Linked DNA regions of Callithrix jacchus. Each later gene encodes a partner of the first gene's protein in a complex. Links are inferred from orthologs where the notes say so. Each region holds a gene or a part of one and is shown in the gene's direction. Other genes may lie near its edges.

Region 1 (4,736 bases):
TCTTTCTCAATCTGGATGTGGTTTACAGATGTGTTCAGTTTGTGAAAATTCACTGAGCTCTATGTACAGTTATGATATGTACATTTTTTTCTGTAAGTGTATTAAATTTCAATAAAAAGAATAATTCACACCATGGGGGTACAAAATAATTTTTCAAAGTCTTCCTTTTATTCAGCTGACATTTTAGTAAGTACCCTTTTTTTACCAAGCACTGCTCTGGGAGCTGGGGACATGAGGTGGAAAGGACAGCATCATTGTCCTCTTTGTCCTTTGGCTTAGCTGCAAGGCAGGTGAAGGATCCTTATAATATGGTTGATTTTTGCTGGGCTCTAATGGATTGGAGGGTGCTAAAGAGACACAGAGAAAGAGCCTCTAACTTGGGTATTTTGCTGTTCCAGAGTTGCCACTCAAGTACCTACAGAAGCTAGAAGCCAGACAGGCAAATGGACAAAGGGGTATAGCTGGTAACTGGGGCAAACTGAAAGCACGTAGGCACAGAGTAGCTAGCACTTGTAATTTTTTCAGGAAAAGCCACATATCCTAATTTTTATGAGCTCTTCTTTTAAATGCTGTAAATGTTTTAGAAGGGCTGGGTGCGGTGGCTCACACCTGTAATCCCAGCACTTTGGGAGGCCGAGGAGGGCAGGTCACTTGAAGTCAGCAGTTTGAAACCAGCCTGGCCAACATGGTGAAACTGTCACTACTAAAAAAAAAAAATGAGCCGGGCCTGGTGGTGGGCTCCTGCAATCACAGCTACTTGGGAGGCTGAGGTGGGAGGATTGCTTTCAGCAAGCCAAGGTTACAGTGAGCCGATCGGGCCACTGAACTCCATCCAGCCTGGGCGACAGAGGGAGACTCCATCTCCAAAAAAAAAAAAAAAAAAAAAAGGAGGCCTAACAAAACCCCGCAAGACACATTGGCTATGACCTACGAGTTTGTTAGGCATTTTTCCAACCTTACCTCCCTTTGACCAAGAAACAGTGTCCTCCATTTTAGGCCCTGGGAAATTCAGCAGCGAGCAGGCCAGACAGCTTCGTTGCATCATGGGGGGCTCTGGTACTGTGCTTCTCCAACTTCAGGATGTGTAGGAATCACCTGAGCAGTCTTGTTGAGAGGCGGACTCTGACTCGGGAGATCTAGGGTAGGGCCTGAACATTTGCCTTTGTGGTTCTAACAAGCTCTCAGGTGATGGGGATGCTGCTGTTCCCTGGCCCCTCCTTTAAACAGCGCTGCTCCATAATCTTGAGGAGCTCAAAAGCAGCAGTTATTTGAAGGAGCAGGACTACAGTACTGGCCATGAAGGTATGTTTGGCAAGCACACTTTTACTTAATTTTAATTCATTTGGGGTGGCTTGGCTGAGAGCTGACAGCATCGGAGGCGAGTGTTAAGGCTCTCCCAAACTACTTTATTGGCGTGCCAGGTCCCTACTCAGCTTACATACTAGGTGGGGTGGAGGTGGAGGAAAGTCTAAGGAAAAGCTTAATGGAGGAGGCGCAAGTGAACTGCAGGAGCTTTCCCGGACGCCCAAGAAAGGGAGAAACCCTAAAGAAATTCCTCCCTTCTCGGGCCGGGTCTCCGTAGCCACGCCGGGTTTGGTTTCCCAGGCTATCCCACGTGTTCGGGTGTCCCTGTCAATCAAGTTTTCCCCGGCTGGGTCGGGGTTTAAAGGCGGCTGCGGGGCAGGGCGCTCCCATGGTTCCGCGCGGCGAGCGGGTTTGGATTTTAAATCCCCGCGACCAATCAGTAGCGCGCAGGCTTTTGTAACGTTCCCAGCGCCGCGTTTGAATTCGGGGAGGAGCGGAGCCTCTGCTCGGATCGAGGTCGGCAGAGCAGCTCCGAGAGCATGAGTGCGGCGGTGACTGCGGGAAAGCTGGCACGAGCACCGGCCGACCCTGGGAAAGCCGGGGTTCCCGGAGCTCCAGCGGCGGCCCCACCAGCGAAAGAGATCCCAGAGATCCTAGTGGACCCACGCAGTCGGCGGCGCTATGTACGGGGCCGCTTTTTGGGCAAGGGCGGCTTTGCCAAGTGCTTCGAGATATCGGACGCGGACACCAAGGAGGTGTTCGCGGGCAAGATTGTGCCTAAGTCTCTGCTGCTCAAGCCGCACCAGAAAGAGAAGATGTCCATGGAAATATCCATTCACCGCAGCTTGGCCCACCAGCACGTCGTAGGATTCCACGGCTTTTTCGAGGACAACGACTTCGTGTTCGTGGTGTTGGAGCTATGCCGCCGGAGGGTGAGTGTCGCTGCTAGGGAACTGGAATTGCCTGCGGGGCAGTTGGAGAGCCTGGACCTGGAGCAGCTGCTGGAAAGAGTGCCCAGGAAGGGAGTGCCTGGGACTTGGAGCTGGTTGAGAAGGGTGCTGGGAGCCTCCCGCTTAGGTATGGAAAGTGTCTTTGGTAAGGGCTTCTTGCCTCTTGGAACTGCTAGAAGAGTGGGTTCCAGTGAAGTGGAGTCTGAGTCAGGTTGCTGACCGGGAAGTCAGCTTCTGGACGCTGGGGGGAGGGGTGCTGGTAATGGACTCTAGGGCCCTAGAGTGCCCAGGGAGGAGTCCCAAGGTTAGTGAAGCCGCGCACTGGGAGCTTCCGGAGTGGGGTCTGGTCAGTAAGGAGGTAGTTGCAATCCAGACTTCGGTCCTTCCCGGGGAAATAAGAATCAGGAAAGGGATCTGCTGCTGGGCACTCGGAGCTTCCGGAATGGGGCTGAGAGAGGACCCCCAAGTAAGAGAGGAAGCTAGGGGAAGGGGTGCAGCGAATGGTTGTGAGTAGTGTTAAAGGAGGGTCCAGATAGCAATTGTCCTGGAGAATGGGGTGGGGGCTTAGGAAAGGAGAGAAACCCACCAAGACGCCACTTTGATCCGCCAGGAGTCTAGGTCCTGTTCTTCCTTTACCTAGTAGTAACCCTCTCCCTTCCCCACCGGCCTCAGCACCACCCTCCCATCCCTCCTGCCCTCTCCTTCCCACCCACAGTCTCTCCTGGAGCTGCACAAGAGGAGGAAAGCCCTGACTGAGCCTGAGGCCAGATACTATCTGCGGCAGATTGTGCTTGGCTGCCAGTACCTGCACCAAAACCGAGTTATTCACCGAGACCTCAAGCTGGGTAACCTTTTCCTGAATGAAGATCTGGAGGTGAAAATAGGTGAGTTGCTGAGCCTGCAGGGTGCTTGACATCCCTACAAGAGGCTGGAATTTGGAGGAGGCTGGGAGAAAGGATAGGAAGGAGACCAGGAGGAAGGAAGAGGATGGATGGTGAGAAGTTTGGGCGTTGATTGCTTCTATAATTCTCTCCTTTGTCCAGAAATTTAAAACAAACGCCCACAAGTCAGTATCTTGCCTGAAGACACATTATAGCCCCAATACAGGACTTTTTTTCAAATAATTTGAGTTTGTTTCTATTTTTTAAAGTGGAAAGCTTGACATAAAAATTTTGATTCAGAGCTCCTTTTAAACAGGTGAAAGCTCCAGTAATACGAGGGCGGCATTTTCTTAGGGCAGCCCATTGCTGGGCTGGAAAGCAGCTGTCCCTTCTGACATGTTTGCCAAGGTCTCTACTCCTCCCTATTCTTCACAGGCTTGCCAAGTCTTGGCGGTTACTTGCTTGATTCTTGAAGGCACTGGAGTTTTGCTGTCCCTGTCAGTTCCCATTTTGAAGCATAGCCCCTTTCTAAGGGGTAGGGTTGTGAAGGGTCACTGGAGGCACCTCCCTGAGGTCAGCATGGCAGGAAGATTTCTGGGCAAGCCTTGCGGCATACAAGGAGCAGAGGCTTGTGGGATCAAATGGCTCTGCTTCTTGATGGTCAAACCTTAACTAGCTTTCTGCATTGACAGATGGCAGAGGCTGGCATTTAAGTACCCATTCTTCCTCCCTCTGTCCCAGGGGATTTTGGACTGGCAACCAAAGTCGAGTATGACGGGGAGAGGAAGAAGACCCTGTGCGGGACTCCTAATTACATAGCTCCCGAGGTGCTGAGCAAGAAAGGGCACAGTTTCGAGGTGGATGTGTGGTCCATTGGGTGTATCATGTAAGTTGGGAGTTGTCTTTGGATCTGCCTGGTCTCAGCAGGGGCAACTTTGGGACATCCTACTTGGCTGACCTTTTCTATGGACCTTTCTGCCTGCTTTACAGAAAGCCTATTCTAGGGGACAAGTGACCCCCAAACGAAGCCTAATTGCTGTATCTTTCCCTGTCACTGGTGTATCCTATCAGATTTCTGCAGCCTAGGCCATGGGTACAGAGGAGGAGGAGGAGGAGGAGGAGGAGGAGGGGGAGGGAGGAGGGAGAGTCTTCACAGCCTTACTTTAGTCCTTTGCTAGAGTGGTCCACAGGGCAGCATCACCATCATCTGGGAACTTGTATGCGGAATCTCAGGGCCCAGACTACTTACTGGATCAGAATCTGGATTTTTAACAAATCCCTTGGTGATTTCCATGCACAATAAGGTCTTAGAAACACTGATGAGCATTAGCATGGTGGGAGAAATTAGGCCAGGAGTTACAGATGGCAGGATGAGGTGCCAGTGGTCCCTCTGGATTGAGACCATCAGCTGCGATTGGTGGCAGGCAGAGGCTTGGGCCTTTTCAGGTATTATCTTTGTTTTTGGCATAGGTACTAGAGAGTTAGAAATAAGTCATAGCGATGGCTTTCATGTGTCTTTGAGGTGGGTTTGTTTTTAATGAAAACTTGAAGCCTTAAGTACAGAACTGCTAAAGGTGGAGCTGCTTCTGTAAGTGCAGGT
Region 2 (4,655 bases), on another chromosome or scaffold:
TAGTAGCTGGGATTACAGGCGCCCACCACACCGAGCTAATTTTTGTTAGGGGGTTTCATCATGTTGGCCAGGCTGGTCTCTAACTCCTGACCTCAGGTGATCTGCCGGCCTCCCAAAGTGTGGGATTATAGGCGTGAGCCACCGCGCCTGGCCTTAACTTTTTTGTTTGTTTTTGTAGATAAGGTCTCACTATATTGCCTAGGGAGGTGTCGAACTCCTGGGCTCAAAGCATCCTCCTGCCTCTGTCTTCCCGGTGCTGGGATTTCAGGCATGAGCCACCGCACCCTGCTATATTTTGCATTCCTTTTTTCATATGACGTGTTTGAAATCCAGTGTGTAAAGTGTTTTACCTTTATAGCACATTCCCACTGGGACTAGTCACATTTGAAGTCCTCAAAAGCCACTATGGTTAGGGCTTAGGTATTGGATAACACAGTACTAGAGGAGCCCGTCCCCAGGGACGTTTCAGTTTCTAACATCATAGTTCTTTCCTCTTTCGATTGCTGCTTTCCCCCAATGTATTAAGACTTGTAGAGTGTAAATAGGGCGCCGTGAGTGTGCAAAGGAACACACACCATCGCAAACGGCTCACTCTGAATACTTACCATTTAGCAGTCCTACCTTCAACAGGTTTCCTGAACACAGGAGATCCGAGAGGCGGAAGGCAGGCGCTGGCGGGGCAGGGAAGGAGCTCGGCTCTGCCATTTACTATCTGTGGGACGCTGGGCAAATTACACACGCTCTCTCTGACTCAGCTCCCTGCTGTCTCAAATGGGGATATTTTTAGTACTTCTCACTACGAAGGTCTTTATGCGGATTAAGTGAGCTACTACACGGCATTTGGCACTGCGCCAGCCACACACTCAAAGTTCAATACATGTAGGCTGTTATCCCAGTGAACTGATAGCGGGCCTGAGCAAGTCCAAGGAAAAGCCCAGAAACTCTGGAGGCTTTTCTAGACCATTATAGCCCAGGCCGTTCCGGACGCGGTCCCACCAAGCCTAGGGAAGTCGCTCGGACCCGCTTCGGCTACTAGACTCCCTGGCCGGCTCTTTCCCGTCAAGGCTGCGGCGGGAGGGGACTGAGGGAGACCTGAGGAAAGGCTTCATCCACAGAGACAACTTGGATGTGAACACCATGGATGTGAGGGGGTCCACTGGAAGCAGGAGGGATGGACTCCTTGACTCTCTAGCAATCTGTGGGGTCTTCTCCGATGTGAGGACACAAGCCCTGTCCTGAGCCAGCCTCGCCTCCAGCCCTATCGCCGATGCCTGCGGTGAGGACTTGGTCAGCGGAGAGCGCGAGACTACGCAGGGGCAGGCGGGATAGGGGGCGTGACCAACACTGCCACGCCCACCTACCCGCGGGCTTCGGCCCCGAGCGGAAGCGCCGGCCTGGAGCAGCCAATTGGGAAGCTCGGAGAAGGTTTAAACACAGACGGCGGGTGAACGCGGCGTCCTCGACTTGGTCGGAGACGTGATCAACCTGTCTTCTGTGTTGAAGATGTGGCGGGCGAAAAAACTGAGCCTCAGCCTGTCGCCTTCGCCCCAGACGGTAATCGAGAGAGCTCTGGCGGAGAGAGCTGGCCGGGCTGTTGGGTCGGGGGCATCGGCCGTGTTGACTGTCCTGGAAAGTTGGGTGGAGCCTGGGGTTAGGGGTTTGTGGAGTCCTTGCTCGCCGTGCCGCTCCTGCGCGACTAGGGTGCGAGCCTACTCTCTCTCTCTCTCCCTTTTTTTTTTTTTTTGGAAAAAAAAAGAAAAGAGAGAGAGAGAAAGAAAGAGAAAAAAGAATGAAAGAGAGAAAGAAAGAGGAAGGAAGAGGGAGAGAGAATGGGAGTCTTTCTCTATTGCCCAGGCCAGAATGCAGTCTAAAAATGGGTATTGCAAACCTCTTTTATGCCAATAATTGTGCTTAACAATGGAGACAGGAAGGAATAAGGGAGGAAAATAACAAACAAGCAGCCAACCAATATTTCATTTAAACCCGTGAAATGCTATGCAATTGCTGAGGAGTGATTTACTTCCAATTATGTAGTCACTTTTAGAGTAGGTGTGATGTGGTACTGATAAGAATGTATGTTTTGTGTATTTGGGGTGGAGAGTTCTATAAACGTTTATTAAGTTTACTTGTTCCGGGTCTGAGTTCAAGTCCTGGATATCCATCCATGTTAATTTTCTGTCTCGTTTATCTGTCTAATATTGACAATGTGATGTTAAAGTCTCCCACCATTATTGTGTGGGAGTCTAAGTCTCTTTATAAGTTATTAAGAACTTGTCTTATGTATCTGGGTGCTTCTGTATTGGGTGCATATATATTTAGGGTCGTTAGCTCTTCTTGTTGCATTCATCCTTTTACCATTATGTAATGTCCTTCTTTGCCTCTTTGGATCTTTGTTGCTTTAAAGTCTATTTTTTCAGAGGTGGGAGTTGCAACTCCTGCTTTTTATTTATTTATTTATTTATTTATTTTTGCTCTCCATTTGGTTGGTAAATCTTCCTCCATCCCTTTGAGTCTTTGTGTATTCTTGCATATGAGATGGGTCTGGATGCAGCATACCGATGGGTTTTGGCTTTTTATCCAATTTGCCTGTCCGTGTCTTTTGATTGGGGGATTTAGTCAATTTAAATTTAGGATTAATAATAATATATGTGAGTTTAATACTGCCATTTGATGCTAGCTGGCTGTTTTGCCCATTAGTTGATGTAGATTCTTCATTATGTTGATGCTCTTTATCTTTTGGTATATTTTTGGAAAGGCTCTTGTAATGCAGGCCTGATGGTGATGAAATCTCTGAGTACTTGCTTGTTCACAAAAGATATTATTTTTCCTTTGCTTATGAAGCTTAGTTTGGCTGGATATGAAATTCTGGGTTGAAAGTTCTTTTCTTTAAGGATGTTAAATATTGGCCCCCACTCTCTTCTGGCTTGTAGGGTTTCTGCTGAGAGATCTGCTGTGAGTCTGATAGGCTTCCCTTTGTGGGTAACCTGACCTTTCTCTCTGGCTGCCCTTAGCATTTTCTCCTTCATTTCAAACCTGGTGAATCTGACAATTATGTGCCTTGGGGTTGCTCTTCTTGAGGAATATCTTTATGGAATATCTCTCTATTACCTGGAGTTGAATATTGTTCTGCCTTGCTAGGTTGGGAACGTTTTCCTGAATAATATCCTGAAGAATATTTTCCAGCTTGGATTCATTCTCTTTGTCACATTCAGGTACACCTATCAAACGTAGATTAGGTCTTTTCACATAGTCCCATATTTCTTGGAGACTTTGCTCATTCCTTTTTGTCCTTTTTTCTCTAATCTTGTCTTCTCATTTTATTTCATTGAGTTGGTCTTCAACCTCTGATATCCTTTCTTCTGCTTGATCAGTTCGACTGTTGAAACTTGTGCATACTTCGCAAAGTTCTCCTGTTGTTTTTCAGCTCCATTGATTCACTTATATTCCTCTCTAAATTGTCTATTCTCATTAGCATTTCGTCAAACCTTTTTTCAAGGTTCTTAGTTTCTTTGCATTGGGTTAGAACATGTTCTTTTAGCTCACAGAAGTTTCTTATTATCTACCTTCTGGAGCCTGATTCTGACAATTCATCACGTTCATTCTCCATCATGCCTTGTTCCCTTGCTGATGAGGAGCTGCGGTCCCCTGAAGGAGGAGAGGCATTCTGATTTCGGATGTTTTCAGCCTTTTTGTGCTGGTTTCTTCCCATCTTTGTGGATTTAGCCACCTGTGGTCTTTGTAATTGCTGACTTTCAGATTGGGTCTCTGAGCGGACATCCAGCTTGTTGGTGGTGATGTTATTTCTGTTTCTTTGTTTTCCTTTGGTGGACCCCCCTCCCCCACAGAGCTGGACCTTCCCGGGTTCAGCTGTGCTTGCTGTGAAACTCTCAAGCGTCAGCTTTTCCAATTGCTGTTTTTTTGTGGGGGGTGGGACCAGCCAAGCCCGATCACCTGGCTCCCCTGCCTCGGAGCCCCCTTTTTTTTCTTTTCCTAATTGAACGGTCGATTCTCTCCCAGGTGCCCCAGTCGCCTGCCAAAAAGGTGCCGGGATCTATGCAATTTCCTGTGCTGCGACCATGCCGGCTGAAACAGCGGCGCTGAGATTCGTGGCGCTTTTCTGCCTGGGAATCTCCCGGTCTGGCTCCCGGCTTCAGTCCCCCTCTCAATCAGCTGAATGGGTGACTCTGCCTTCTTGGAGCTCCAAATGCCAACTAAAAGGGCACCCAGTCCCGCATACTCCACACTGAGAACCTCTGCAATGGGACACCGGCAAAACAGCCGCGCCGGCCAAAAGAGTTGCGCTGGTGACCCATGGGGCTCCTCTGCTGGGAATCTCCTGGTCCGTAGGCAACAAAAATTCGTCAAGTCTGGCGTCCACTTACTCCCTGAGCCTTCACTGGGAGCTACAACCCTGAGCTCAAGCCTACTCTCTTAATTGCTTCTTGAGTTTCTTAGGGAGGGAGGAAGGGTGGGCTGGCAGAGCCCAGCCTTCCTCACACTTGCCCTCTTTCTTGCTTTCTTTCTCAGGGAAAACCAGCTATGAGAACTCCTCTCCGCGAACTTATCTTGCAGCCCGGTGCCCTCACCAACTCTGAAAAAAGTACCCCTGCTTGCTCCTCGCTGACCCCATCACTGTGCAAGCTGGGGCTGCAGGT
Region 3 (4,634 bases), on another chromosome or scaffold:
AGTCAAAAGAACAAATGATCAAGAAATCTAATTATTAAATCTAATTTTCTGAGAGTTTTGGCAAATCATTTAATACTCCTTGGCCTCAGTTTACCCATATGTAAAGTAGGTAGAATAATCTAAACCTGTCACAGGAACAACATAACATACTAAAATGTACAAAAGGTACCACCTGGCCTGTAAAAATCAGGAGTCCACATAGACTACCATTTCTCATTTCTGTTTGTGAATCTTCAAGACCTCAGAATGTCAGAAGTAATGATATCAGTAAGATGAAGAAGGCAACAGGGTCTATCTCTGGCTGAATACCATCCTCCCTCACCTGCACACTAAAAAAAAGCCCAAGAAGGCTCTTCCTTCTGTGACCTTGGGGGCAGACCACTGTACAATAAAGAGGAAATCATCTCTAACCCATTCACACCTCAGAAGGAGGCCACAAGGAAGAGCAAAGAAATGAATCTGGATGTACTTGGAGTTCTTTGGAAGAAAGGTGCAAGAGAAGTCAATCATCATTAGAGTTAACTACCATTTTCATGCATAATTATTACCACCCTGAACAAAATTCTAGCTTCCGGGGAGCTCCCTTCAGCTGCTTCCCCTATGTTCTCATGGGAGAAGCTAAAGCTTATATCACTTTTGCTCTTGGTTTCTTAACTCTGCCTTCAAAGATCAACCAGAGAGGAAACCTAAGTGCAGGATTTTACCCTAGAGACCCCAGGCCTCAGGCTCACCAGCTAGGAGGAACAGGGTAGTGAAACAAACTCTCTAGCTTTTCGAAAGATATTTGGACAACAGCAAACTCCCAATCATCTCTAGGATAGGTGAATAGAGTGAATTTGTGTTTTTCTGCATTTTAATTGTTGGGATGTGGCCACACACAGCGGTAATTGGAACAATGCAACTACCACCACGCAACTGATACTCTCAGCCTGAGTTTCCTAAAACAGGCCAGGCTGAGAGGGGGAACAGAACGGAAGCCATAAGGAATCAAACCAGGACACAAAAGAAGGCAAACCAGCTCCGCGAGGGGCCTCCTCTTTCTCAAGCAGGCATTGAAAAAAGTGTAAGAAGCCCGATCTTGCTGCCTTCCTTCCCCTTCCATTTTGTGTATCTGAAGGGTAGAGACAGCCCTGAACGTTCACTAAACAAGTTAAAACTTCTCAGTTTAACAACTGGCACAAGGGCTTAGCCCTTCACAGAGCAGCAGGCCGCTAGGCCCTCTCAGCAACCCCACCAGGCCTAACCCTCAGTCCAGGCTTTTCCTCCACCATCAGCCCCCTAAAATAAAGATCGGACCCCCACCCCATCTGCTACTGGATGGCAGTAACCCCTGACACTCCTGTTTCAGGGATGCGGAGGTTGTGCTGAACCTAGACAAGGTAGAATCAAGTCAGGCCAAGAGGGAGGAGAGTCACAAATCCCTTGGGGACCTTCCCCCAGGTCCCAGCCCTACACCTCTTGGGGAGACTGAAGGAAAACATGAGGAAGGCAGGGAGGTGCACGAACAGGTAAGTGGAGACCTTCCGCCTCTTCTTCCATATGGTTCTGGTGGGAATAGTGGTGACAAGTGGGAAACACCCCTCCCCCACCCCCATGAAGAAGCAAAAGGCTAGGCCCCTTCAATCTTCAAGCTATCCCTCTGTTGCCCTGCCTGTCCCCGCGGGGTGGGGCATGGGGCGTCCGCTGGTCCGCGGCGGGGGGGGGTCGCCAGGGCTTGCTCAGGGGGGCTGGCGTTTGCCTCTTCCCACTAGGTTCCATCATCTGGCCGCGGGAAGCGAACTCCCGACGCAAGGGATGGGGAGGGTCTGGGACTTAGCACTCCGCCACCCCCTCCCCCACCGGGTCCCGTGCTCTCCCCGCGGAGGCGGCCTGCGAGGCCCGGCCGCACAGGCGGCAGGACTGGGGGAGGGGAAAGAGGGAAGGAGGGAGGGACAGTTGAGGTGCCCGCCCCGAGGCCCCAGCGCCACCTGCCCTCTGCCACCTACCGCAGCTCCTCCAGCTCCCAGGGCCACGGCCGGAGCAGCTCTGAGCGCTCCGTTCGCCCCACGGTGCCCTTAAAAGGCGCTGGCGCGAACCAACGAGTCCCTGAGGAGAGTAGGGGGACAGCTCCGGCTAGCAGAATCCCCTCGAGCCACCCGCGGAGGCCGCAGCCCCGTGTGGTGTCTCTGTCAACGTCTTTCTCAGATAGCGCTGTCGGGAAGTAGCCTGACGCTTTGATTTAGGGATGGGGGTGGTTTCCTCACTAACGAGTCACCCCTTCAAAATCTCTCAGAAAGTGGACGGTCCCAGTCGGAGGCACATCTTGAAACCCGCGGGGGAGGCCCCGTCGGAAGAAGGTAAACAAAGGCATCGCCCCTGGCCTCCCTCCCTCCGTCGGCCCAACTACAGCCTCCCACGCGGTTCTGGCCGCGTCACGCAATTAGCCACAGTGCCCCATCACCTGCTCTGCTGCTCCGCCCTCCACGGCCACCTCTTCGAAGGAATTCCCCCTTCCCCCTGCAAAGGACCTGTCCGCCGCGTGAAGGCTGCTGGGAAGTGTGGTCCAAGCGCCGATCAGGGCCTGCTCTGAGTCCCAGGAGCCCCTCTTGCAGCTGCCGGATCGGCATGAATCTTAAAAACCCAGGACTTACAATGGTTGCGGGGCCGTTTCCACTCGGTTTTGTAATTTGCCCTCACCCAGAACACTTTGTAAAGCTCAGGATAGCCCAAGGCTGTTCACTCCCTATCCTCCCTCTCCGCCCCCCCCCCAGCAGGATGAGGTAATGGGATTGTGATTATGACATCATAGGCGGTTCAGTTGCTTGCGTTGGGTGGGGGGAGGTGCGGGGAGGTGGGGAGAAGTACGGTGGTTACACTTTCGTTAAACAGAAAGGGAGGGAGGAAACAGGCAGATGGTGAAAAGATGTGACGGCCCTACATTTCCACTTCAGGAAGACAAAACCACCTTTTATTAAGTCTCCACCACTACCACCACTTCCCACATGAGCCAAAGTTTAAGTCTTTTTTAGAGACTGAATGTAGACGTTAGTGTGTGAAGAGGTTGGGTTGATGGTTTCTGGCTCTTATGTAAATTTGAGTCTCAGCCTCACAGATGGTTCAGGGAGACAAGCAAAAAAGTGGATGAAGAAGAGGCTTTAAACAATGCCTTCGTGTTGTGATCTCTTTGTAATGCAAAGTTTTCGATTTTTTTTCAATTGATTGGAAAGTAGCAGTAATGCAAGTAATCTTCACTATTACACTTAGCAGAAAGTCCTCTGAAAGACATCTGTTCTCTGTAAATATTTTGTGCCTTACTCATGACTGGGACAGGTAAATAGCTGTGATCAGCTGGAAAGTAGAGCCAATGGTGGGGATCTTCCTCACAGAGCCAGGTAGATGAGGAAGCAGGAGCCACAAAGTCTGCAAACTGAAAAAGAGTAGAGGAAAAGTGAGGTACAATAATAACTGAGAAAATAGGGGTAGAGAGATTTACCTTGCACTGCCTATTTCCCCTTGGCAAAAGGAGCAGAGGCAGGCACCATGAAGTGTGGGACACATAGTTTCTAATAATTGCACTTATGTGCCAGACACCATGCTTTTTTTTTTTTTGCAGAAACAGGGTTTTGCTCTGTTGCTCAGGCTGGAATGCAGTGAGACCATCATAGCTAACTGCAGCTTGAACTTCTGGGCTCAAGCAGTCCTTCCCATCTCAGCCTCCTGAGTAGTTAGAACTACAGGGGTGTGCCACCATGCCCAGCATATTTATTTCTATTTTTGTAGAGAGAGGGTCCTTGCTATGTTGCCCAGGGTAGTCTGAAACTTCTGGCCTCAAATGATCTTCCCAGCTTGGCCTCACAAAGTGCTCAAATGGCCAGGCATGATGACTCACACCTGTAATCCCAGCACTTTGGGAAGCAAGGCAGACAGATCATTTGAGGTCAGGTGTTCCAGATCAGCCTGGCCAACATGGTGAAACCCCATCTCTACTAAAAAATACAAAAATTAGCTGGGCGTGGTGGTGCCCACATGTAATCCCAGCTACTCCGGAGGCTGAGGCAGGAGAATCGCTTGAACCCAGGAGGCAGAGGTTGCAGTGAGCTGAGATCATGCCACTGTACTTCAGCCTGGGCCACAAACAAAACAAAAGAACAAAAAAAAAAAAAAGTGCTGGGATTCCAGGTGTGAACCACCATACCTGGCCTACATACTTTGATGTATATTCTCATTTTTTTTTACAGTCATCCAATGAAACAAAACTTTCTCTTTGACAAAGGAAACAGCCCAGGAGATTAAGTGACTGCCCACGTGGTAGGTAGAGGTAGTATCAAAAAGCAGTCTAAAAGAGATTCAAAAAGCCCTTGCTTTTCACTGCTAAGCTCTTCCCCTTTTTATTATTAACCAAGCTTACTAATTACATGATTGAGTTGAAAGTAGGCATTGGCTCATTTGCAAAACATTGAAAGAAACTGAGACAAAAAAAAAAAACAAAAAACCCTGCAAGTTTCAAGCCTCATTTCAAAGGAAGGTTACATCCCCTTTCATCATCTATTAAATAGCCTCCCAGTGCAGCCTAACACTCCTACCCATAATGAAATCTCCTTATTCCACTTTTAATTCCCAACGATTTTTTTACTCATGTCCTGCTCTTCTTCCCT
Region 4 (4,682 bases), on another chromosome or scaffold:
TTCCTATTTTGTCTAAAGGTGTGAGCCACGACCATCTTCATCGGGCACAGAAACCTCAATTTCAGATGCTTTTGAAATCGGAATGCCAATCCCTTCAAACTTCCTCTATCAAAGTATATTTCATACACGCCATTTAACCTGTTTTAAGGCGGGCTTTTCCCACAAACCTAGTGGAAATCCATGTCCAACCATTTTCTCATTATGATGTACAAGCAAGAAACTTCATTTTATTCAAGTAAATTTGCTTCCTTTCCCCTACCTCCAACTGTTGTTTTTCATTACTTGCAGTCATGTGGATGTTTTATACTTATATTTTGGATTCTGATTATTCGGTGTAGATATAGGACGACTTAGGAGGGATTGCAAGTCACTTTAAAAAAATTAATCCATTACAATCTTTTCAGTATAGGACTCTAAGTCTTAACAGGAAAATGTGATATATGACCAGGAAGCTGACCAATTTTCTTAGATGAACGATAAAATAAAAAGAAACTCACTTGTCACAAATGCGGATGAGCGGTGGAAGAGGGCACATTTCATGCAGGATTGGAAGCGGACAGAATTTGGGGCTGAAAACACGCCTTATTACCCTGGCTTCCACTTCTCTACTTTCAAGACTGAACCAACGAGTTCTATACAAGGCAAAAGATACACCTGCGGTGGTTAAGAGTGCAGATTCATTGGGCGCAGTCTAACGAGGGACGCAGCCTGGAAGCCACTGTTAGAAACTGCATACTGCAACCTAGAGTTGTCAAGATTAATGTTTCTAGAATGAGAGGTGATTAAAAAAAATCTTTTTAATCACTTCCTGGCACGGTGCAGTTGCTTGCCTGTGTAATCCCAGCACTCTGGGAGGCCGAGATGGGAAGATCGCTTGAACCCACGAGTTCGAGACTAGCCTGGGCAACATGGTGAGACCTGCTCTCTACAAAAAAAAAATTAAAATCAGCGAAACCTCGTCGCGCGCGCCTGTAGTTAAAGATACTGGGAGGCTGAGGTGGGAAGATCCCTTGGAGTTTCAGGCTGCAGTAGAACCATTATTGCACTAATGCACTCAGGCCTGGGCGACACAGAGAGACCCTGTCCCCCACACCCCACCCCCACCCCCACAAATCACACTTCTTGTGGAAACCGTTCAAACTAAACATCCCACTTTGTGCGTAACTTTACATTCAATCCATCATTCCCTCAAAAACAAAATGTTCTTTATCCGCCTCAAACATGGAGGACTGAGAAAAACATAAGTTCTCTCAAACCCACGGAGCACGCAGATTTCCGGCGATAGAAGGGAGGGATAGCAGCCTTTACTGCGCACAGCCCGTAGGGGAGGACGGCAGCTAGAAAGGGCCAAACTTCACCGCAGCAGCGCGCGCGCGGCTTGCGGCGTCTCCGACGTCAGCCTTGCAGCGACAGAGCATCACCTGAGGAATGAGGGCATTCAAGTTGGGCGCGTGCGCTGCGAAGACGAAACGAATTAGCTCGCCCCTGTCTGTGACAGCTTATGGTCGCCTACTTTTTGTGGAAACACTACGGTCCACGAGTGCGGAGGCAGCCAGAAATTTGCCTGCGTCCCAGTAAGACGCACGGTGGCGCAATTCCGACCCTACCAATCCCAGGCTGACTGGAGGGCGGGCTTTTCAAATTTGAATTGCGGAAGTGTTGTGGGTGTTAGAGAACCTCGCGGAGTAGGTAAGCGTCGCTTGGGGCCCGGCCGTCGCGGGCAGGGGCCACCGTGGGCCTGAGACGAGAGCCCCGCGGCGTCCGGCCCTCCCTCCGCGCGGAGCCAAGCCTGCACTACCACAGTCTCGCCCTACCAGGCCCTTCACCCAAGGTACGTCCTCCTCGCGTCCTTCGCTCGCCTCCCGTCGCGAGTCCCCGCCGGTGGTGGGCGGCCTGTCCTTTCAGCACCTCGGCCCACGCCGTTTTATTATTAATTTTCGTAGATTTCTAGCTTTGGTACTGATTTTACAGCTGCGCACTCGATGTTTATTTGTTGCGTGTCTACTGCAGAGTAGAACACGATTGCTCACATTTATTTCTATGGTGAGCGTTCTAGGTCTTTGTTCTAAAGTCACTTAAAAAAAAAAAGAATACCAAGTAGGAAAATTGTGTGCCCTAGTACCCAACTCTTCCCCTTGGGGACCCAGGGCTACAGAAGAAGTTCATCCATTCAGTTTATGTTTTCTTCTAAAACACAGCTTTAGATATTAATAAAATTACTTAGAAAATGGTCCGGCGCGGTGGCTCACACCTGTAATCCCAGCACTTTGGGAGGCCGAGGCAGGTGGATCATTTAAAGTCAGGAGTTCAAAAAAATGATAGGTCACCTCACCCTGTCCTTCAGAGATAATACTGTTCACAATTTGGTTCACTTGCTTCCAGAGTTTTTCTCTATGCTTATATGTGTTTCATTTATTTATTTATTTTTACAGAAATGCAATTATATGTTCTGTTCTGCTACATTTTTTCAATTTAATATTTCTTGGATTTTTTCCATGTAAGTACATATATATCTTTTTGTTGAATACATGGAGTAAATTGTATGGATGTGGCGGAATTTATTTTGTCCTTTATTGGTGGACATCTGGGTTGTTTAATTTCATTTTATGGTGCAGGTACTGCAGCATGAACTTCCCTGTGTAGTGGTTGTGTACGCTATGTTGCCTGTTGGTAAAGAACTTAGACTTTGGAGGTAGAATTAGATCATCTTTCTCACTTACTGTTAAGTAAACCTTGGTCGGGTTATTTAACCACCTATACCTTAATTTCTCTCTTTTCAAACTGGGAATAACCACAGTACTTAACTCTTTAGAGTTGCTGTTAGATTATATAGTGACTGGCATGTCAATATTCAGTGAATATCGGCTATTATGATGCATATATATTTGCATTCTTATGTAGGTGTTTCTGTAAGAAAAAAACAAGTTAGAAGTGGAATTTCCGTGTCAGTGGCATACAGACTTGCATTTTGAAATTAATCTTTACCAATATGATATGTAAAAGAAGTCTCACTGTTACAGTTTGCATCTCCGTTTATTAGTAAAATCAGGTGTTACTTGTTTATTGACCTTTTCTATTTCTTCTATTAATTGTCTTTCATGTCCTGTGACCATTTTCTGTTTTGAACATTTTTTTTTTAATTGATTCAGTAGGTCTCTGAATGTTATGTAAATTAATCCTTTGTCATAGGTGCTGAGTACTTATTTCAAGTGTATCATTTACCTCTTAACTTAAAATTCTATTTTTTTTTTTTTTTTTTGCCAATCAGTTTGAGCTTATAAGGTTGCTCAGGTTAGCTTTGAACTGATGAATTCGCCTTCGCAAGCACCACGACCTCCGGCGGGAGCCACTTTGGACCCCTAAAATTCTATTTTTATGCCGAATTCTGTCTCCCAGTTTTGGTTAGTGTGCTCTGGGGTTTTTGACCCCTTCATAGTAATAGCTATTACTATTGTTACCAATACAGTAAATTCTTACAAGAACGTTCCATCTTTTGGGAGGAGGAGGAGGAGTAGTTATATTCAGGATCATATACATAACAATTGTTTAGCTTCAGTTCTGTGTTTATATGTGTCACTTATAACTGCCTGGGATATGTTCTGAGAAATACATTCAGGTGATTTTTGTCACTGTGCCTGTATCATAGAGTGTACTTATAAAAACCCAGGCTATATGTTATATTCTATTGCTCCTAGGCGCCAAACCTGTAACACAGCATGTTACTTTACTGAATATTGTTGGCAGTTGTAACATGGTGATAAGTATTTGTGTATCTAAACATATCAAAATATAGAAAAGGTTCAGTAAAAATAAGGTATCCTATGGGACCTCCATATGTGTGATCTGACATCATTATGCAGTACATGACTGTACTATAAATGCTATGGCCAGCCCTTTCCTACATGGTTTTCCCATTCCTTTGTCTTCATGTTGAAAACATTTTTTTTTTCCTAGTACATCAGCATTTGTCAGCTTTTAGAATAAGTTTTAAGGATTAGATTTTCCAAACAACTTTAAGCAGTTGATGAAAAGAGAAACATACTTTATCCAGTCTTAGAGGGAACTGACAATGAGTGACCTCCGTCTGTCAGGTCAACAAATGTGCTTGGTTGGCTTCAGGACAAACTATTCTTTCCTTCACTTGAGGGATACCAGTTATTTAGTCTCCACTAATGTCTGTGTTTCATCAGAGGCTGATTTATTTTGTTCTTTTAACTAGGAAGGAAATGGAGCTTCAGATCTGTCTTGGTTTATCTAGACCCAGTGTTTTTTTTTTTTTAATTTATTTACTCTGCAAAGCCTCTGTGGTCAGTGGAAATTGTAGACTATTTTTTTTCTCTTTATTCTGTCTTTAACAAACCCCTGGCAAATATTGGCTGCTTTTTTTTTTTTTTTTTTGACTTACATTGAGTTGCTATTTATCACATGGTGGGAAAAAGGTATCTTAGAGCAACTTTCTGCATCTTTGGGAGGGGAAGTGGAATTTGAAGGCTTTTCAGAATCTTGGCTACCCAATCTTTATCCTACTACTTGCGTGAATTGGGGGCAAAGATGTTAGGCAACAGAAATCTTTGTGCTGGTTCTTTGAGCCTTTCTATGTGACCACTATTATCTGCCTTTAAATGGATACACTTCTACATGTCCATTACAGATTGGATCTGTTTTCAGTGCTCTTAGCTTAT
Region 5 (4,180 bases), on another chromosome or scaffold:
ATTTTTAGTAGAGATGGGGTTTCACCATGTTGACCAGGATGGTCTCGATCTCTTGACCTCATGATCCACCCGCCTTGGCCTCCCAAAGTGCTGGGATTACAGGCGTGAGCCACCGCGCCCAGCCTTTCTTCTTTTTTATAATCAGGATTGATAGAGAATTCACTCTCTTTGACTCAGAGCCATTAATACGGTTTGTTTGTGTCACCTAAACCCATCGATTATGCTGCCTTCAGTTGTGTTGGACTTCACTAGGGTTGTGTGCTCCACACTCCCATATTGCTTTGGGATGCTTGTGAATTTTTCCATAAGCCCATCCTGCGGAATACCTGCCTGAGCTATTCTGCTGATGGTCAGCAAGAGCACTGTTGGCTTTAGAAGTATGTCGTGAACGTAGCAGTGCTGTTTCCTCTGTTTAGTATGACTCTGTCCTTTGTTGAGAATCTTACGATCAAATTATTCCTTGTCTAAAATTACCTTAAGATTGTTGCCACTGCTTTCTCAATGTTATTGTTCAAGGAAAAGGGTGAATTCTGGCCAAATTCTTGCCAACTGAAAGCAGAAAGATGCTGGCTTAATAGTAGCTATCGTCTCTTCATTGCTCTAAAAGATGGTTGTAGAAGTATGATCGGGTTCATTCCTATTTTTGGTGGTGTTTAGGTTGATTTTGATAGCTCAGGATAGAACAGTCTTATCCATGGCTCAGTCTATTTGGGGAATTCAAGCCTTTGGTTTCTCTAAGTGTCCTTTCTTGGCTGATGACACTTACGTTAGATATTAGTTTGTAATCTTGGTAATGGTGCGAGGCAGTCTCATAATGGTAATGAGGTTTGATATTTAGCATGGAGGTTTGCTGGTTAACTGTGAGTAATATAGGTGGGATTTGTCAGCATGCTTTTATATTTCTTATGTAAAAACTTATACAAGCTGTCTGGGTATGGTGGCTCATGCCTATAATCTCAGCCCTTTGGGAGGCCAAGGTGAAGGATTGCTTGGGGCTAGGAGTTCGAGACCAGCTTGGGCAACATAGTGAGACTATTTATACTGTAAAACTAAAAAAAGTATAGAAACTTATAAAAGCCCATGGACACTTAATATGTAATCAGTGGCGTATTACTAGCTAATCACATAATCAGTGAGCATTCATGATGTAATCAGGTGGTGCTCCATTTTGTTCTTTGTTCCATATGTTGCTGTAATAAATAACAGTGCCTGTATCTTAGTATCTGTAAGTAAACAATGATGTAGTTTATAATCACTCCGTTTTGCCTGATAGGAATGGATATTTAGTGATTACAAGTGTTTCACGTACTGAGTAGGAGTTATAATACTTTTGCAATAGTATTTAAATCTCCAGTTATCACTTTGCTATGTGTTGGAATGGTAATTTTAGTGTATTTATACAATGGTAAATTTGGATGGGTCAGTTCAACAAGGCATTTGAGAGACGCTGGATTCTAAGCCAGATTTTAAGGAGACATGAATAGGATTTATGGGAGGGTATATTCAAGTGTGTGGAACCTGAGTTGAGAGATAATGAGAATGAAGGAACAATTACATGGGCTGTCATCTAACTTCAGAGAGTCTGTTTTTATTAAGCCAAACAGTATTACTTTCCACTAGAGCAGAGTTTGGTAAACTGTGACCCATGGACTGGGCACCCATTTGTGAATACGAGTTTATTGGAATGCAGATTATTCAGTTATGTATTGTCTATAGGTGCTTCGGTTTTACAGTGGCAGAGGTGAGTAGTGACAGATACCATATGGCTGGCACACCTAAAATATTTATTCTCTGCTTTGTTACATTTAGTTACCCAAAAATTCCTGTCCCTTGCCTAATGTGTTAATGCCCCTTGGTGGGCTTTTTGGACAACATGACATTAAAAGGACATGTAGAATCTTTTTGTGTATTTCCAAATTTTAGATTATTTTTCTTGTACCAGATAGAGGAATTTATATTCCAGAAAAACACCACCTCAGTATCTTTTCTTGTCACTTTTTTGTATGTCCCTTGTCATTTGATACTTAAGACATCATGGTCTAGAGATGACTGTCTTTATATTTTTATTGTAAATATCTTACTATCATTTTTCCCTTCCTATATGTATGATCTGATATGGTCAGAATAGCATACTTGAGAGACTGAAGTGTTTATGGATTTTAAAGATGAGATTTTTATTATAATGAGTTGCTATTTTGTTTCCTAAAGCAAGACATTCCTTTATTGCAGCATCCTTGAGACTTTGTACTGCACGGGGTGCTCACTCAACCTTGGCTACGTGTACAGATGCACACCCAAGAATCTTGATTACAAGAGAGACTTGTTTTGCCTCAGTGTTGAAGCCATCGAAAGGTAAGTGTGCTATATAAATGCTTACCTCACAACTGGTGTTTCAGAAAGTTAAGTTTGCAGAGAAATTGGTACGGAAACTTCAGAACTAAGTCAATACTGTTTGGTTAAATATATTTTCAAGTAATGATTTCTAACAAGCCAGTATTTTTTTTTTTTTGCTTTGACCTGCTTCTTTATTTGGTATTGGAAAAGTCAGACACTCTAAATTGTAGGAGAAAACACTGAGAAATTTTTTTGGAGTAAAAGTATATTCAGTTTTTTAAAAAAATTGAGTGTAGTTTAGTAGGATATTCCCCTTGACCCCAGCTTTTTATTTTTATTTATTTAAAAACATATTTTTTTAAGATATGGGGTCTTGCTCTGTCACCCAGGCTGGAGTGCAGTGCTGTAATCATAGCTTTCTGCACCCTCAAACTCCTGGATTCCAGTGATCCTCCTGCCTCGGCCTCCTAAATGGCTAGGACTACAGGCATATTGCTTGGGGTCTTGCTGTGTTGCCCAAGCTAGTTTCAGATTCCTAACCTCAGATGATCCTTCTGTCTCACCTCCTGAATAGCTGGGAATAAGTGCATGCCACCACACCCAGCTTATATTTTAACCTTGTACTGTACTTCAGTTATGTTTTAGGGTCCTCTGAAAAGCAAATTGTGTCAGAAGATAAAGAACTTTTTAATCTTGAAAGCAGAGTTGAAATAGAAAAGTCTTTAAAACAGGTAATTTTATTCTGTACATTTTACATATTTGTATGAACAATTTCTCAGTGAAGTGCTCTCCCACAAATGATAATTCTCATAATGTCATCTGTTTTGCTCACTGTAAGAGTATGCTTATTTCATTTCAGTTCTTAGTAAAGTTGATCTTTGGGGAACTCAAATGAAGTTAAAGCTTTATCAACAAAATAATAAGGAAGTCATTTCATGTCAAAATCAAAACTGTATGTTCCAACACTGCTAAGCCAGAAATACATTTTTGATTCAAATCAGTATTTTGTTTGAATTGATTTTTGTGGTATATATAGCCTTATTGTTGGATGTTAGCATTTTCTCTTCTCATTGCCAGATGGGTGAGATGGTGATGACCATATGGAAGAGACATAGCTTATAGGTTGAGAACTGCTGTTGATAGAATTATGTTTTATTTTAAAAAATTTAGTTTATGCCTCTGAGTAGTTTTGTTAAACACTGAATATCTACCATGCAATGCATGACATATTCAAAATTGCATTAAGTGTATATTTTAATTATATTTAACCATGTATATTTTTAATGATATTGATATGTGTTTGTTTATTTTTTCAATTCAATAGATGGAAGATGTCTTGCAAGCATTACAAATGAAGCTGTGGGAGGTTGAATCAAAATTGTCCTTTGCCACTTGTAAAAGCTGAACTCTAGTCTGTGTCCTCCATTCTGCCCCCGCCCTTCTTCCCTTTTTTTGTTAAACGAAGCAACGTAGTGAGATGTTGTCACTACCAAAAAAAGAAAAAGAAAAAAATAGCCAGGCATGCGAAAGGCTGAGGTGGGAGGATCACTTGAGCTTGGGAGGTCAAGGCTGCAGTCAGCCTTGATCATGCCAGAGTGAGACCTTGTCTCAAAAAAAAAGACCCCAAAATTGTAGAATTACTTTTATAGCTATTGTTGAAAAACGGGCGCTTTGAATGAAGAGACCTTCCAAACAGGCTTTGTGTGAGCAACATGGCTATTTATTCACCTAGGTGAGGTGGGCGAAGGACGAAAAGGGCATTAGCAAAGGGCAGTGGGGTAGGAGTTGGTTTTATAGGTTTGGGCAGTTTTTTGGGGGGTGGGTGTGTTGCAGAGTAAGTTCAGTT
Region 6 (4,713 bases), on another chromosome or scaffold:
AGCTGATGGTCATTGGGTTATTACAATACTTTTTGGCTATTATGAACAATGCTGCTGTGAACACTTGTGCACACGATTTTATGTGGATCCAATTATTTAGGCTCATAGTATTTAAGAGTGGTGCTTTGCTACCACGCTGCCTGCAGTTAGACCAGCCTCTGCTATTTAGTAGCTGTGTGACCTTGGGCAAGTTAATTAACTTCTCTGTGCCTCAAGCTCATTATAAACAGTGACTATGTTACCACCTCTTACTGATTTTTGAATTGTGAAAGAGCTCACATATGGGAAGTATTTAGATCAGCATTTGCTACATGGTTAGGTCCAAGTAAAATTTATCTATTAGTATTATTTTAATATTTTGAGGACGTTAAGAGAAGGGCTTATCTTCATTGTGCCTTTGAAACCCCAAAGCCTACACTTTTATTTATTAATTAGAAAAACGAAATAAATACTCAGAATTGTTTGGTATTCCAGGTGTGCTAATTTCAGACGGTACATTTTGAGGTCGAGGGAGAGATGCGAAAGCTGTAAATCGCTAAGAGGCTTGCCTTCTCCAACTTATCTTTCTTTCTTTTTTTTTCCGTAGTCTCGCTCTGTCTCCCAGGCTGGAGCGCAGTGGCTCGATGTCTCTCGGCTCACAGCAACCTCTGCCTCCTGAGTTCAAGCAATTCCCTGCCTCAGCCTCCCAAGTAGCTGGGATTACAGGTGCCCGCCACCACGCCCGGCTAATTTTTGAAGTTTTAGTAGAGACGGAGTTTCATTATCTTGGCCAGGCTGATCTTGAACTTCTGACCTTGTGATCCACCCACCTCGGCCTCCCAAAGTGCTGGGATTACAGGCGTGAGCCACCACCCCGGCCCAATTTACCTTTCTTAATGCAGCAACTCAGAACACCTATTCACTTGCAACTATTTAGTATAATTTGGGAGATATTCTTGTAATGAATAATATTATTTAATAACATGGATATAGACTAGACTTCCATATAGCTAGGATATAGCTACTGTATAGCTAGGATATAGCGGCTTTCCACAGCAACTGTGCGATTGGTTTAGGGGCGGCCGAGGTCGATTTTGATTGGCTTGTCCAGTGGAAATGCTCTCTGACGGAGCTACTACTGGCCAATATGGCTCCACAATTGGCTGTCCTGGAAGCCGACAGACACGTGGCTACCGCAGGCTGAGATGAACGTGGGAGGACCTAGTTCTGCTTACCGCGAGAGGGCACCGGCGGATTCCTCGCTGCTAAAATCTCATTTCCCATAAAGCCCCCGAGCCACCAATCAACTAGCTGTCTTCATACCGCTTTCAAAGTCGGCGGGCCCCTTGCCCAGTAGCAAAAAAGATATCGCCCTCATCTCGAAGATTGATGGGAAGATTGACCAATTATGTCCCAGATCCCTGTTATCACCGCCTCTCTCGTTAGGGATTGACGATTTTTCTAGCCAATAGGGGACGCCGGGTCGGCGGGTGGATGAACGCGGCTCTCTGTAATGGCGGAGCGTGGTGGGGACGGGGGCGACGGTGAGCGATTCAACCCGGGGGAGCTCAGGTAAGGGACGCTGCCTACCCTCACATCTCGGGTCACGAGAGCCCCAGAGGCTAGGCCTGCTGTGTGGAGATCCAGGGCAGACGGTGGGCAGCAGAGCCGCGGCGGCCCTGGGCCGGGACCGCATGGGGTTTAAGAAGGGGGAAGGGGAAGGTGGCTTGAATGAGAGCCGGGCCCGGGGCTGGGCCACGGCCTCCTGGGCGTTCTCGGGCTTCTCCCTAGTGCTTTTTCGGGGCTCCGCTGCCCCTCGCGGCCTGCAGCCTGCCGGCCGGGCCCGGTACTCCCGCCTTTGGGCCCCGCCTCAGCCGCGTGTCGCCTCTGTCTCGGCCGACCTGAGTCCGTCCCCCGGCGGCGCTCCGCTGCGGGCCTGGTTTTCCTTATCGACTTCCCTGCACTCCGCAGTTACTTTCCCGGGACCCCTTGCCACTTTTGGCTAAGCCTTCTCCACGCCCTCCGCGGCTCTTTGGGCTCCCCACGTTTGCCCTTTCATTTCATCCCCTACGTCGCTTGTCTTTCTTGAGTTGGCTTTTCTTCCTTTTTTCATCCCTTTATTCCTTATTCTGTAGTTGTGAGTAACAACAACAGTAGCAACCGCTTGTTAGGCACTTACTGTGTGCCAGTAAACCCTTTACTTAGGTTTGTCTCATTTAATCCTCACAACCACCCTTTGGAGTAGTTGCTATTTCCATTTTGCAGGCCACAGACCAGAGGGGTCTTCATTTGTTACTCACCCATCTTACGGGTGAGATAACTGAGCCTCGTGGAGGTTGAGTCAGTAGAATTAAGATTGCATAGGTGGATTTGTGGCTCCAGGAAGTGGCTGGAACTCAGGCAGTCAGGTTTCAGAGCCTGCAATCTCGATCGGCATTCTATTCGTCTACTACTCATGCCATTTCCCTGAGCAGTGCAGTGACTTTTTTACCCTGGAACCTCAATGCCTATGAATTTGTAATTAAAATTTGGTAAAATAAGAGTGACCTGGAGAAATCTGTTGGTTACTGGTTTTTGTGGAAAAGAGGAGTTACGTTTTATGCGTATTTGGTACTTTTTTTTTTTTTTGGATGGGAGAAATAGCATTTCAGATGTTCAGCTCCCATTCTGAATTGTGCTATTGTCAACATTTGAAAATGAAAAAAAGCAGTGTAGATTATGAAGACTCTGTTCATACTGTCTAGAGCTTAAGATGAAATTGTGTAAGGAAATGGGTATTGTTATTCAAGGTTTTAGAGGAAGAAAATGCCTTTCGGATTCTGAATGGTCGCACATACAGATCCCTACTTTGGCAGGAATGAAATGTCTTATTTCAGAGACGAATCTGAAATCCTTTAAACTCCATATGTATACCGGATTAATGAGTGATCAAGCTGAATTGTCAGGATCTTTCAATATTAGTGATGCCAAGTTTATTCCTGATTTCCGTCTTAAAGGGAGTTTACTTAGCTAATTTCAGATGAATTTATTAGGGAACATTATTTCGCGTTTTAAAAAGTATCTTTCTAAAGCTTTACTTTTAAAAAAGGCTTTATTAATAAAGCTGTTTATACTTTATTAATAGTCTAGACACTGTGGCAAAACTGATTTGAATAGGGCTTCAGTTTGCAAATGAATTTGCCCTGTAGCAAATATTTTATACCATAGCCTCTTGGATTGGAAGTTGCTTGCAGAGCATACTGTACAAATCTTTATTTTAGCATTTCTCATGAAATTAGGTGTTTTTGTGGCCTCTTTGATGGCAGAAGTTGGGGCTTAATCTTTGTCTTTGTATCCTGAATGTACTTCATGGTATGTCTGTCATAACTGCCTGGCAAATGAGATGTTCAGTAGTTATGTTGCAAATAAACGAAGACAGGAGATTTAGAGATACTTCTCTTATTGGGCTGACGTTTATTGTGTGCTGCTCTGTGTGACAGTTACTGACCTAGGTGCTGGCAGTAGTGCCCAGAACCAGACCAGAAAAAGATGTTTATCCTGAAGGTGCTTCCAGCTTAAGTAAGAGCCATCTCAACTGTAAACGAAATCAACCCCATCAAATGATTAAATATGCCTGTAAGTGTGAAGTGACTTATACAAGGTCACTGGGTAGTTGGCAGGGTCTAGACTAAATCCCATGTCTCCTCACTCACAGTTCATATGATTTGCCCCCCCATATATCAGTAGCATTTTAAAAATTTCTTGCCCCTCCAACTATAGTATTGTCTTTACCATTAAAGAGATTGCATATCTGGAAAGAGTACTTCTATTATAGAAAAATGCGTGGTTTGCATTTTGATGATCTTGTTAAATATTTTTGTTCTTTGTATTCATGCAATTAGGCTTTTGTTTTTCAGAAAGGTTGTAAGTAGTAGGAATGCAAATCACGATAGATGGAAAATTTATAGACATTCCAAATGCCATTAAGGTGACTCCCAGAGTCTTTTGTATAGATCCTTTACCTAGGGCCTTTGTTTATCTATTAGTACTTAAGATGCTTTTGCAATCTAAATTTCCTTATCTCTAAAATGAGAATAAGAATATTCTGGTGTTATCACTGACTAGCTGCCTTAAGAGAATTATTTTTTGGTGGTACCATTTCCTCTGTAAAAATGGTGCCAAACTTAATTATTGAGCTGTAATGAGGATTAAGAGTTAATATAGTTAATGTCTCTATAACCGTGCTGCTGGTATATAGGAACTTTACTGTCACTATTAAAACAATAATGTGTTTTAATGTGTTGCAACAGTATACTAAAGGGAACCATGTACTAGTGGCTAAAGATAATACAGAAGTAAATGAGAGATTTCTTCATAGCATTTATCATAATTGAAAACTCAAATTGGGGATAATGAGCCTGAGAGGGCCTGGAGAGGCTAGAAGTGGGAAAGCAGTTTGAAGTGACATTTGAACTTAACGCTGAATAGTGAGAAGGAGCTAGTTATGTGAAAATCTGAGGAAGAACATGCCAGGCATTGAGAACAGGAGCAGAGGCTTCAGAGTAATAAACTTTGTATTTGTATTTAAAGGAAAAGACTAGAGTTTGTGGAAGGGTTAACATGGGCCAGGTAATACAGGACCTGGTAATAATAATATAGTAATAATAGCTAACATTATTACTAAAATACTATTTAACACTTACCAGTACTATTACTGTACTAATGTTACAGAAACAGTAATAATAGCTAGTAACT

What was found.
Region 2: PLK1 (region 1) and SPAG5 share a complex: the UniProt entries of both Homo sapiens proteins name them as parts of the astrin (SPAG5)-kinastrin (SKAP) complex. The link is inferred for Callithrix jacchus from reciprocal best matches to the Homo sapiens genes PLK1 and SPAG5.
Region 3: the proteins of PLK1 (region 1) and CDC25C are in contact, whole or in part, in a crystal structure (PDB 3BZI), measured with the Homo sapiens proteins. The link is inferred for Callithrix jacchus from reciprocal best matches to the Homo sapiens genes PLK1 and CDC25C. Residues at the interface, in NP_005021.2 of Homo sapiens: Lys413, Trp414, Val415, Asp416, Tyr417, Tyr485, Glu488, His489, Leu490, Leu491, Arg516, Phe534, His538, Lys540; in NP_001274511.1 of Homo sapiens: Leu126, Leu127, Cys128, Ser129, Thr130, Pro131, Asn132.
Region 4: the proteins of PLK1 (region 1) and MIS18BP1 are in contact, whole or in part, in a crystal structure (PDB 8S31), measured with the Homo sapiens proteins. The link is inferred for Callithrix jacchus from reciprocal best matches to the Homo sapiens genes PLK1 and MIS18BP1. Residues at the interface, in NP_005021.2 of Homo sapiens: Lys413, Trp414, Val415, Asp416, Tyr417, Asp419, Tyr485, Ser487, Glu488, His489, Leu490, Leu491, Arg516, Phe534, His538, Lys540; in NP_060823.3 of Homo sapiens: Asn73, Ile74, Phe75, Gln76, Ser77, Thr78, Met79, Leu80.
Region 5: the proteins of PLK1 (region 1) and MIS18A are in contact, whole or in part, in a crystal structure (PDB 8S30), measured with the Homo sapiens proteins. The link is inferred for Callithrix jacchus from reciprocal best matches to the Homo sapiens genes PLK1 and MIS18A. Residues at the interface, in NP_005021.2 of Homo sapiens: Lys413, Trp414, Val415, Asp416, Asp419, Leu490, Leu491, Arg516, Asn533, Phe534, Phe535, His538, Lys540; in NP_061817.1 of Homo sapiens: Ser50, Met51, Trp52, Ser53, Ser54, Met55.
Region 6: the proteins of PLK1 (region 1) and TCERG1 are in contact, whole or in part, in a crystal structure (PDB 3Q1I), measured with the Homo sapiens proteins. The link is inferred for Callithrix jacchus from reciprocal best matches to the Homo sapiens genes PLK1 and TCERG1. Residues at the interface, in NP_005021.2 of Homo sapiens: Lys413, Trp414, Val415, Asp416, Tyr485, His489, Leu490, Leu491, Arg516, Phe534, Phe535, His538, Lys540; in NP_006697.2 of Homo sapiens: Pro101, Pro102, Pro103, Met104, Ser105, Ser106, Met107.

What each region holds. Positions count from the first base shown.
Region 1 is NC_133513.1:24,285,201-24,289,936, forward strand, and holds the start of PLK1 (serine/threonine-protein kinase PLK1), read left to right. Parts: upstream 1-1,790; 5' UTR 1,791-1,844; coding exon 1,845-2,237; intron 2,238-2,970; coding exon 2,971-3,139; intron 3,140-3,877; coding exon 3,878-4,022; intron 4,023-4,736. UniProt on the Homo sapiens protein: Serine/threonine-protein kinase that performs several important functions throughout M phase of the cell cycle, including the regulation of centrosome maturation and spindle assembly, the removal of cohesins from chromosome arms, the inactivation of anaphase-promoting complex/cyclosome (APC/C) inhibitors, and the regulation of mitotic exit and cytokinesis.
Region 2 is NC_133506.1:105,011,675-105,016,329, forward strand, and holds the start of SPAG5 (sperm-associated antigen 5), read left to right. Parts: upstream 1-1,442; 5' UTR 1,443-1,503; coding exon 1,504-1,554; intron 1,555-4,014; exon of another isoform or gene 4,015-4,041; intron 4,042-4,527; coding exon 4,528-4,653; intron 4,654-4,655. UniProt on the Homo sapiens protein: Essential component of the mitotic spindle required for normal chromosome segregation and progression into anaphase. Required for chromosome alignment, normal timing of sister chromatid segregation, and maintenance of spindle pole architecture.
Region 3 is NC_133503.1:36,753,253-36,757,886, reverse strand, and holds the start of CDC25C (M-phase inducer phosphatase 3), read left to right. Parts: upstream 1-1,381; 5' UTR 1,382-1,508; intron 1,509-1,985; exon of another isoform or gene 1,986-2,027; intron 2,028-2,270; exon of another isoform or gene 2,271-2,272; 5' UTR 2,273-2,336; intron 2,337-2,440; exon of another isoform or gene 2,441-2,476; intron 2,477-2,630; exon of another isoform or gene 2,631-2,756; intron 2,757-4,634. UniProt on the Homo sapiens protein: Functions as a dosage-dependent inducer in mitotic control. Tyrosine protein phosphatase required for progression of the cell cycle. When phosphorylated, highly effective in activating G2 cells into prophase.
Region 4 is NC_133509.1:79,851,178-79,855,859, reverse strand, and holds the start of MIS18BP1 (mis18-binding protein 1), read left to right. Parts: upstream 1-1,645; 5' UTR 1,646-1,831; intron 1,832-2,432; 5' UTR 2,433-2,444; coding exon 2,445-2,497; intron 2,498-4,682. UniProt on the Homo sapiens protein: Required for recruitment of CENPA to centromeres and normal chromosome segregation during mitosis.
Region 5 is NC_133522.1:38,414,198-38,418,377, reverse strand, and holds part of MIS18A (protein Mis18-alpha), read left to right. Parts: intron 1-2,229; coding exon 2,230-2,352; intron 2,353-2,968; coding exon 2,969-3,065; intron 3,066-3,658; coding exon 3,659-3,739; 3' UTR 3,740-4,180. UniProt on the Homo sapiens protein: Required for recruitment of CENPA to centromeres and normal chromosome segregation during mitosis.
Region 6 is NC_133503.1:44,965,661-44,970,373, forward strand, and holds the start of TCERG1 (transcription elongation regulator 1), read left to right. Parts: upstream 1-1,467; 5' UTR 1,468-1,492; coding exon 1,493-1,551; intron 1,552-4,713. UniProt on the Homo sapiens protein: Transcription factor that binds RNA polymerase II and inhibits the elongation of transcripts from target promoters. Regulates transcription elongation in a TATA box-dependent manner.